2 linked regions of the Canis lupus familiaris genome follow. The protein of the gene in region 1 purifies or fractionates together with the protein of each later gene. This does not show direct contact. Links are inferred from orthologs where the notes say so. Each region holds a gene or a part of one and is shown on either strand. Other genes may lie near its edges.

Region 1 (4,678 bases):
ACCCAGAGTCTTGTATTTTCCTCAGGACTTTTCAAAATGGTGACGGTCAGTGCCCCGAGCTTTCCCTACCAGTCCTTAAGCTGAAAAGAGGTCAGGGGAGAGGAGAAGTTTGAGCCAGGAAAGGTACCTGGTCTTCAGGAAGTTTTCCGTCATCTTCCAAGATCTGAAAGAGCTCTCCCTCAGCATAGTCTGTCACCACCACCACCTGCAGGGAGAAGACAATGGTACTGATGGCTCCAGATTTATGCATTGTGAGGTCAGGAAATTTCTGGGAGCCTTCTTCTTGGGGAAGGGTGACCCAAAACCCAAGTGCACCTCTTTGTCAGTTTCAAAGCTGTCAAGCATATGCACTATGTTAGGATGCCGCAGACCCCGCATGATTTCAATCTCTCGTTGCAGATTTCTCAGCTCCTTCTCTGAGCGTCCTAATTTTGGAATGAACTTCAGGGCCACCACCTGTCAGTGGTAAGATGAAACATCAAGGCCTAATCACGCTATTGAAACATTCATCTCAGAGTTCCAGAACTCAGGCTTTAGATTGAACAAATTCTCATTACCCACTAGTCAGCTACTCCCCTTACCCCATATACCCTGGCCTTATCTAGGCCTCCCCCACCCCCTGCCCTAGGACAAAACAGCCTCCACCAGGCAGATCCCTTTGGTGGATTCTGGGAGAGGTGTTCTAATCTGGGTAAAGCACTCTGGGTAAAGATTTAAGGGAAAGAAAAAAAAAAAAAAGATTTAAGGGAAAGAGAAAGAAGAAAAAAATGAAGAAAGAATAGAGTTCAAGTGGTCTCTCTCTTCTGCTATGGCTTGACAGAGAGAATAATAATAAACATAATTTATTTACTGTTTACTAGGTGCCAGACACTATACTAGCGTAGTGATTCAGTGTTAATCACATTTAATCCTCAAACCCCATCAATCAGATACTGTTTTTATCCTCATCCTAGAGATGAGGAAAGAGACGCTGAGAGGTTAAGTAACTTGTCCATAGTTCAAAGGCTACAAAGTGGTGGACTTAAGATCTGAACTCAAGTAATCCAATATTAGAGCTCCTACTCTGTCAGAGGAATGAGAGAGTGCTTCAGGAATACTGGCCGGTAATCTGGTCCCATTTTCCACAGTAGTTGGAGGTACAGAATCCCACCCAAGAGACGCCCCTCTTTGTGCACCACCTGAGCACTGTATTTTCTTCGACCCTTATACACCCTCCCAAAAGAGCCTTCTCCAATCATCTCCAACACGTGGTACTTTTCCATGACAGAGGCTTCAGGATCCCTCAGAAGGAAGGAGGTAGAGATGGTGGTGAAGAGCTACAGCTCCAGGGACAGGTCTACACATCTAGGAGGCCTGGTGCGGGCATGGAAGAAAGCTTAATGTTAGCCACCTTGCCTTTTCCTTTTTCATAATAATCCAGGCTTCAAAAACATCGTAGTGGAGTGAATGGCAAGACGAGATCTCGGAGCAAACAGAGCGCCTCTTGTCGTTCTCCCTCCTTTCCAGCCCCCCCCACCCCACCCCAACTCCGTTCCCGTAGGACGCAGTGGCCCCCTTCCCTCTCCGCGCACACCCGACCGCCCGGCCCCGCCCCCTCCCCCGCCCCAGCCGCGTCCTCGCCCCGCCCCCTCCGCCCAGCCTCGCCCCCCCGCCCCCCCCGCCCCCTCCATCCGGCCAGACCCACCGACCCCGCCCCTCCCAGCCTCTCCCAAGTTCCCGCCACCGCCAACCTGCCCAGCAGCCCGCCCACGGCCCCGGCCGGCGCGCTTCGCAGACCGGAGCCCCTCGCTCACCCCCAGCCTAGGCGCTTCCAGCTCCTCAGGCCGAGGGACGTGGGCCCGGGCCCTCAGCCCCGCCCCGCCCGGCTGCCTGCACACTTTGCCTGACTTACAATTCTTCCCCTCCCCCCCACAGCCGGACTCTTTGGACTCCCACTGTTACCAGCTGTAGTCGTTGGAATTGGCCAGAAGAAGCCCAGAGGACAGAGGCGCTCAGGCTTTGGGAGAGACGGAGGACTGCCCATAGGCACTTCCTAGGGCACTTCCGAGCCGTCCCTTGGGCCTCAGGACCCCCTGAGGACCCGGAGTCCACGGTTGCCTGGAAACGGCTGCGCGCCGGCTCCCTCCTCGCCGCCTCCGACTTCCCAGAGGGCATTTCCGGTTCCGGCTGTGGGCCGGAGGAGACATGGCGGCGTCTGCGTCGGCAGCTGCGGGGGAGGAGGACTGGTAACTCTCGGGGCATGGGCTTTGGCTGGCCGCCTGGGTCCGGTCCCGGAGACTGGCGGTGGCCGCGGACGGTCCGTACGGCGGGCTTGTGGGGCGGAGCGAGGGATAAGGGGTGGCAGCGGCGCTGACATGTCTTCTTGAGAGAGCTTCTGTACCGGGGAGCTGAGGGTGGAGGGGCACCGATCGGACGGGAGAGGAGGCCAGGCCAGCTCGGGCCGCGCCTTAGCTGGCTCGATCCCCTCTTCTCTGGCCTCACTCGTCTCATTGTCCTGAAGTGGATTTGCTCAGGGTCCCAAGGATGCCTGCTTATCACCTCTCCCACCTCCCTTTTACCTCCCGGAGCCGATGCCCTCCAGCCCCGACCCCTTTCCCCTTGGGTCAGCCTATTTCCGCCGAGGTTTTCCTCAACCTTCTCCCTCCCCGACAGCACGAATGAGCTTGTTTGAATAAAGCTTTACACCTCACACAAAGCTCTCCTAGTCCTTCTCTCAAGCATTCTCAACAAGAGACCCAAACCTGGAAGGACTCTGGGATTGGAAATAGGATAAATGTGGGTTCACTCCACATTTTATTAGCGTGTGATGCTGACCGGGCCACCTAGCTTCTGTGAGTCAGTGTCCTGAGATGTAAAAAAGTGGGTGTGGCATCTACCTCATAGAATAGTTGAGAGGCTCACGGTGGATTTATACATAAAAGCGTCCTTTTTCCAATTGAGGTGCGAGCACCTGAGGGGACTAGATGAAGCCTGAAGAGGTAAATCGATTTGCCAAAAAGGTGCATACCTATGACCTAGGAATCCAGGTTATCTGATTCTGAATCATGTTTTTGGTACTAGGACATTATACAGTCTCCCTACCCTCACCCCCTTTTTTGTCACCACCTCACATCCAGGTCCCAAGTCACAACTAGGGAAGGTGAAGCCTCTTCATGGATGTCATTGGTTCAAGGAGCCCAGCCACTGTTGGCCTTTTTGAGACTATCTAGGCTCATGGTTTTCAACTTATTTAGGGAAACTTTATGATTCTGAGGAGACACGTTGAGCCATGGAGAGGCCAGTAGTGATTGCACAGTTAGCCTGTGGTGTCCTGAGACTCCCACACTCACGTCAACCCAAACCACACCACTGTTATCTATTTTATATTTTGAGGGGCCTAAGACTTAAAAAGAAAATTTGAGAACGAGTAATATATGGGATATGCTAGAGCAGCCCTGCTCTTGATGAAGAAGGAACAATAACTGTAAAGGAAACCAAGCATGCGTCCTTATGTGCATTACCTGAGCAGAGCTATGGACTTGAGCCTATCACTAATCTTCAGTGTCATTACAACTCCTGTTTCTTTGATTAAACATGTATGTTCTCTCGTTGACATCAGGGCCACCTGATCTTGACCTAAACAGGTTGATCTAGATCAACCAGATAGCAAGGGTCGTAAATACATTGAATACCGACTATATCCTTTTCTTTCGTTTTTACAGGAGAAGGTTATATACAAATAGGAGAAAAAAGAACCTAGACTACATACTATGGCCAAGATATTATTAGATACTTTACATAAACAGCCTTTTATCATTACAATAAATCTAGACAGTAGGTGGCATTACCTACATATAGTAGCCAGAGTGACTCAAGCTTACGGAGTTACTCAGATCATGTAGCTATAAGTGATTAGTACCTATTACTCGAAAACTGGTGGCTCTTCTGCTACATCATGGTATTTATACCACCTAGACCTCTTTTTCTGTTCAGGTTGCTATCTCCTTGAGTAGGCTTAGGGTAACTGATACTGAGAGTATGTGTAGACACTGGAATCCACATGAACAGTGGTGTAGGGAAAGCTAGGAGTGGTATTGGTAGCCTTGATGTGAATCATTTGACAGCTTATTTCTGGGTCACAGAGATAGTCAACCAGCAGCACGATGGAATTTAAACAGAGTCAGGCTCTGTTTCTAGTTCTGCCTGTTAAACTTTGGTATTTGAGCCAGTCATTTCACCTTCCCAAGAATCCATTTCCTCATCTCTTGACAGGAATAGTCCCTTAAACTCTGATTCCCATGCTTCCTACCTGGCCCCTTGACAATGTAAGAAAATCTATTTCCCCTGTTTTTATGGAGGTTAGCAAAAGAACGCACTCAGGCAAAATTTCGTTTTGTAAAAGTCAGCCATCACAGGCTCTAGCAGGCTTTGATGGGGAGAGCTGTAATGGTGAGCCAATCTCCTCCTGTCTCTCCAGGGTACTTCCCTCTGAAGTCGAGGTGTTAGAGTCTATCTATCTGGATGAACTACAGGTGGTTAAAGGAAATGGCAGGTACGTATTCAACTGAAGGTGGGCAGGAGTCCCCTTAGTAATGAGCAGATTTCATGCAGAATCCATGAGCCTTGATTCAGAGAAGATGTTCTCATGGAGACAGACATACTCCTTTAATCTCCCCCAAAAGAAAGAGCCCACTTCTCA
Region 2 (4,438 bases), on another chromosome or scaffold:
ACAAAATGCATGTAAAAGCACTTGAGTTTTCATAAAGGCATATTTTCACTGAGTTGTGTTGGACCGTGGAGTCATCCTTTTCCATTGCAGGGGGTTACACATGAGTTAGAGATCAGAGGCTCTGGCACACTTTGGCCAGTCTTTTCTGAGCTCAGTAAGGATTTATCTCTGGTTTTTGCCTGGTTTAGTAAAAAAAGAATGAATGCCTCAATAGTTGCTCAGCATTTACAGATGGAACTTCTGAGCCATTCCATTTTGTCTGCCTGTTCCAAGCACTGCTTCTGGACCTCCTATACCTTATTAATTTGATGCAATATGTACCTCTTTCTTACTTGCATAAAAAAACCCCAACGCATGGGGGTGGCTTGGGTGGCTCGGTCTAATTTCAACTCAGGACCTGATCTCAGGGTCCTGGGATGGAGCCCACATCAGGCTCTACACTCAGCAGGGAGTCTGCTTGTCTTTCTCCCTTTGCTTCTCCCACTGCTCATGTTCTCTTTCTCAAATAAATAAATAAAATCTTAAAAAAACACAAAACCCCAAACTCTTTGTAACAACCTCCTATTTGGTTTGTCACACATTGGTATCACACTACCATGTGATAGTGTTGCCAATTTTAAAGTGTCTTAAATATTTGTGTCTATTTATCAGAGATTTTCAGAGGTTTTTGAACTATTTTTATGAACCCTGGGATACTTACAGGAATGTATAGTGTTTCTATTCATTTCTCACATATATGGAGTTAGTTTATTTATTTTTGGCCAGTTAGCCCTGCTTTACTTGTTTGGCAATTCTTCGTGAATTTAAATTTCATCTCCAGCTCTGAGTTTTCCAGAAGCAAACTCAAAAAAAAAAAAAAAAAAAAAAAAAAGGGTGCTTCCTTCCTTTAGTTTATATACTGACAAATTTTGTCAATGCAGTGCAGTTTTACAATTTAAGAAATTATAATTTTGGAGAGCTATTCCTCCATTTTCTCTGTTATTTTGTTTTTTCACATGCAAAGCTCATTTTCCCCTAAGGATTCCAACTTATTTAGATGAATTTTCACCATTTTGATAGGATATTTCTTTTTTATACAATAGCCTTAATAAAGAAATAACAAATTTTTGATTGGATATGCCTGAAAACAACATTAGGCTTTTTTATGTTATTTTAGCATTGGAATGTGAAAGAAAGTGGTAAGAAATACTTGTCTGTACAATGGCTCATTGATTAAGTATTTTGATACTGATAAGCATTGTTGACCCTGTTATTCCAAGGACACTATTTTAGTCTGTTTGGGCTGCTTTAACAGAACGCAACACACCAGGTGGCTTATAAACAATAGAAATTTATTTCTCATAGTTCTGGATACTTGGAAGTTTAAGGTCAAGGTGCTAGCAGATTTGGTGCCTGTTGAGAATGTACTTCCTAGTTCATAAACAATTACCTTCTTGTCATGTTCTCATATGGTGAAAGGGACAAGGGAACTCTCTGGATTCTTTTATATAAGGTCTCCATCCTCATGATCCAGTCAATTCCCAGAGGCCCTGCCTTCTAATACCATCACATTGGGTGTTAGGTACTTTACATATGAATTTTGGGGGACAAACATCCAATCTATAGTATATACTAATATTGACTTTATGTAGTGTTACTAATTTTGTTTAAGCAATCCTTTGGCACATTTGCCATCACTAAATTATTGTAGCAGTTTTAAACTTAAAAAAATTGAATTTTCTCCATATTTGACATACTTTATCTCATAATTATCAACTATAGTAGGAATTATTGCGTCCATTTTACAGGCGAGAAAACTAAGGCTCAGAGAAGTTAGTAACTTTTCAAAGGTCTCTGACCCAAGTCAAGATTTAGTGCAAGAATGAGATTGAGTTCATTTGAATTTACTCTTTCAAATCTCTTTAAAAAAGCATAACAATCATGTTCATTTTGACAGGTTTTCATGATAGTAATTTTTAATGGTTTCATTTAGAAAGACTGTATGTAGTTGTTACCTAGACAATTATAGGCTTCTTCAGAGGGCCTAATGTAGCAGATGCTCCCAGTGTCTCATTCTTATCCCCTTGGCGCTTATTATGTCCAGGCACACAGCTAACCTCCCATTACTAGCACATGTATGTCTTTATAGGCAACAGGTACTGGGAATTCATGCCCTCCCCCTCCCTTGACGTGTTCATTATTGTCTTCTATATGCCAAATGTATATGTGTACCTTCCCTCCCACCCCAAAATCCATATGTTGAAACTCAATGCCCAATGTAATGGTATTAGGAGGTGGGACTTTTGGAAGGCGCTTAGATCATGAGAGTGAAGTCCTCTATAAAAGACACCCCATAGAGCTCCTTCTGTGATGTGAAGAATAGCTAGAAGGCACTATCTAGGAACCTGAAAAAGTGCTCTCACCAGACTGAATTTGCCTGGGTCTTGATCTTGGACTAGTCTCCAGAACTATGAGGAATATATTTGTTGTTTATGAGCCACCCAGTTTATGGTATTTTATTACAGCAGCCCGAACAGAATATGCCATTCACTTTCTTCTCTTTCCTGTTTTACTTCCCTTCTCCATTAGTGGTATTTTTTTTTTTTTGGATCACCTCCGAATGAACTACTTTCCCTTGAATCTTTATTTCAAAATATGTTTCTGGGATAACTCAAACTAAGACACCACCTTACCTATTTGTTATGGATATTGGAAGTAAACCTAGTAAACCTTATGGCCTGGAGCATCCAATCTCAGGTTGGGGCCCTCTCATTCTGGAATTTACAAAGATGGCTTCTCATTTGCCTGGCCAGTTGTCTGTTCCTTGCTTTTGCCTCCTTATCTATATTTTATTTGACTGCAGACTAGAATTCCCAGTTCCCTGCTCTGACTCTTTCCTTCCTTTTTTAAAAAATTTTTGATTTTTGGCAATGCATTTGGGGCTGACTCTCTGGTTAGTCACCTTATCTACCTAATCTCTTGACACTGAGCATTACTTCCATATATTAGTTATCTATTGTTGCATAACAAATTACTACAAATCTTAGTAGCTTATGATAATAAACATTTGTTATCTTACAGTTTCTGCAGGTCAGGAATCTGGGTGCAGCTTAGCTGAGTGCCTCTGGCTTAAGTTGACAGTTAAACTGTCAGCTAGAAGTGTGGTCTCATATGAAGGTTTGATTGAGGGAGATCTGCTTCCAAATTCACTCATGTAGTTGTTGAAAAGCTTTGGTTCCTGGCCATACAGTTCTTTCCACAGGACTGCCTCATGACATGTGTATTAGTCTACTTGGGCTGCCATAACAAAATACTGCAGCCCGGGTAGCTTAAATGCCAGACGCTTATTTTCTCACAGTTATGAAGGCTAGACGTCCATAGTCAAGGTCTTGACAATTTTAGCTTCTGGTGAGAGTGCTCTTCCTGGCTTTTAGACAGTGGCCTTCTCACCATGTCCTTACATGGCCTTATTCTGTGCATGTATGGAGAGAGAGATTTCTGATGTCTCATCTTCTTTTTATAAGGACACCAGCCTTTATGTCCTCATTTGACCTTAATTACTTCTCTAGAGGTCCCATCTCCAAATACCATCACATTAAGGGTTAGGACTTCAACATACAGACTTTGGGAGAGACACATTTCAGTGTGTGACACAAGGTACAGGAGACAGTGAGAGAGCAAGTGAGAAAAGCATCCATAATGGAAGCCATAGCCTTTTCTAATCTCATCTTGAAGGTGACATCCCATCACTTCTGCTGTGTTCTATGTGGTAGAAGTGAGTGCATAAGTTTAACCCACGCTCAAGAAGAGAAATTTAAACAAAGGTGTGAATTTAGTAGGTGAAAATCATTAGGAGTATACAGGAGAAACTCTCTTGCTTTACTCACACACATAATACTTATGACACTACATACATGGGTCTTGTTTCCCCCACACACCAAGGCAATTCTCTGTGACATCAGCTGGATGTCCTACACTTTAATTCAATTTAATTCTGACTTGCTAGAGTTAGTGCAGATCCCGTACGTTAAGGGCTAAATCCACAAGACTGCTCTCAACTTCAAATACCAATAGTGAGTAGTAAGTTCCCAGGTTACCCACAACTTCTGTATGATTTGGTTACAAAAGAAGTTCCCACAGCCCCCTCCTTGGAGTTGATCATTTGCCAGAATAGCTCACAGAACTCAGGGAAACAATTACATTTACCAGTTTATTATATAATGAAGGATATGATAAAGGATACCTATGAACAGTCAGATGAAGAGATACATGGGGTGAGGTGTGGAAAGATTCTGAGTGCAGGAGCTTTTGTCTTTGTGGAGTTGGGATGTGTCACCCTTTCCAGGAGATAGATATGTAGGTAGAACTTCCAGCCAGGAAGTTCTCTGAACCCCCCCTTCAGGGATTTTAATGGAGCCTTCATCATGTAGGCAAGATCAATGATAAACTCCATTTCCAG

What was found. The genes of interacting proteins can lie anywhere in the genome.
Region 2: the proteins of RNF25 (region 1) and UBE2E2 purify together in Homo sapiens (affinity purification with mass spectrometry; 3 studies listed by BioGRID and IntAct, counting the BioPlex papers as one, with this or other methods). This does not show direct contact. The link is inferred for Canis lupus familiaris from reciprocal best matches to the Homo sapiens genes RNF25 and UBE2E2.

Annotation. Positions count from the first base shown.
Region 1 is NC_049258.1:25,146,310-25,150,987, reverse strand, and holds the start of RNF25 (E3 ubiquitin-protein ligase RNF25), read left to right. Parts: upstream 1-1,784; 5' UTR 1,785-1,941; coding exon of another isoform or gene 1,942-2,184; coding exon 2,185-2,225; coding exon of another isoform or gene 2,226-2,490; exon of another isoform or gene 2,491-2,505; intron 2,506-4,456; coding exon 4,457-4,531; intron 4,532-4,678. Other genes in the region: STK36 (serine/threonine-protein kinase 36), read right to left, coding at 128-205, 316-456, 1,396-1,461, 1,942-2,490. UniProt on the Homo sapiens protein: E3 ubiquitin-protein ligase that plays a key role in the RNF14-RNF25 translation quality control pathway, a pathway that takes place when a ribosome has stalled during translation, and which promotes ubiquitination and degradation of translation factors on stalled ribosomes.
Region 2 is NC_049244.1:20,994,704-20,999,141, forward strand, and holds the start of UBE2E2 (ubiquitin-conjugating enzyme E2 E2), read right to left. Parts: upstream 3,162-4,438; 5' UTR 3,059-3,161; intron 1-3,058.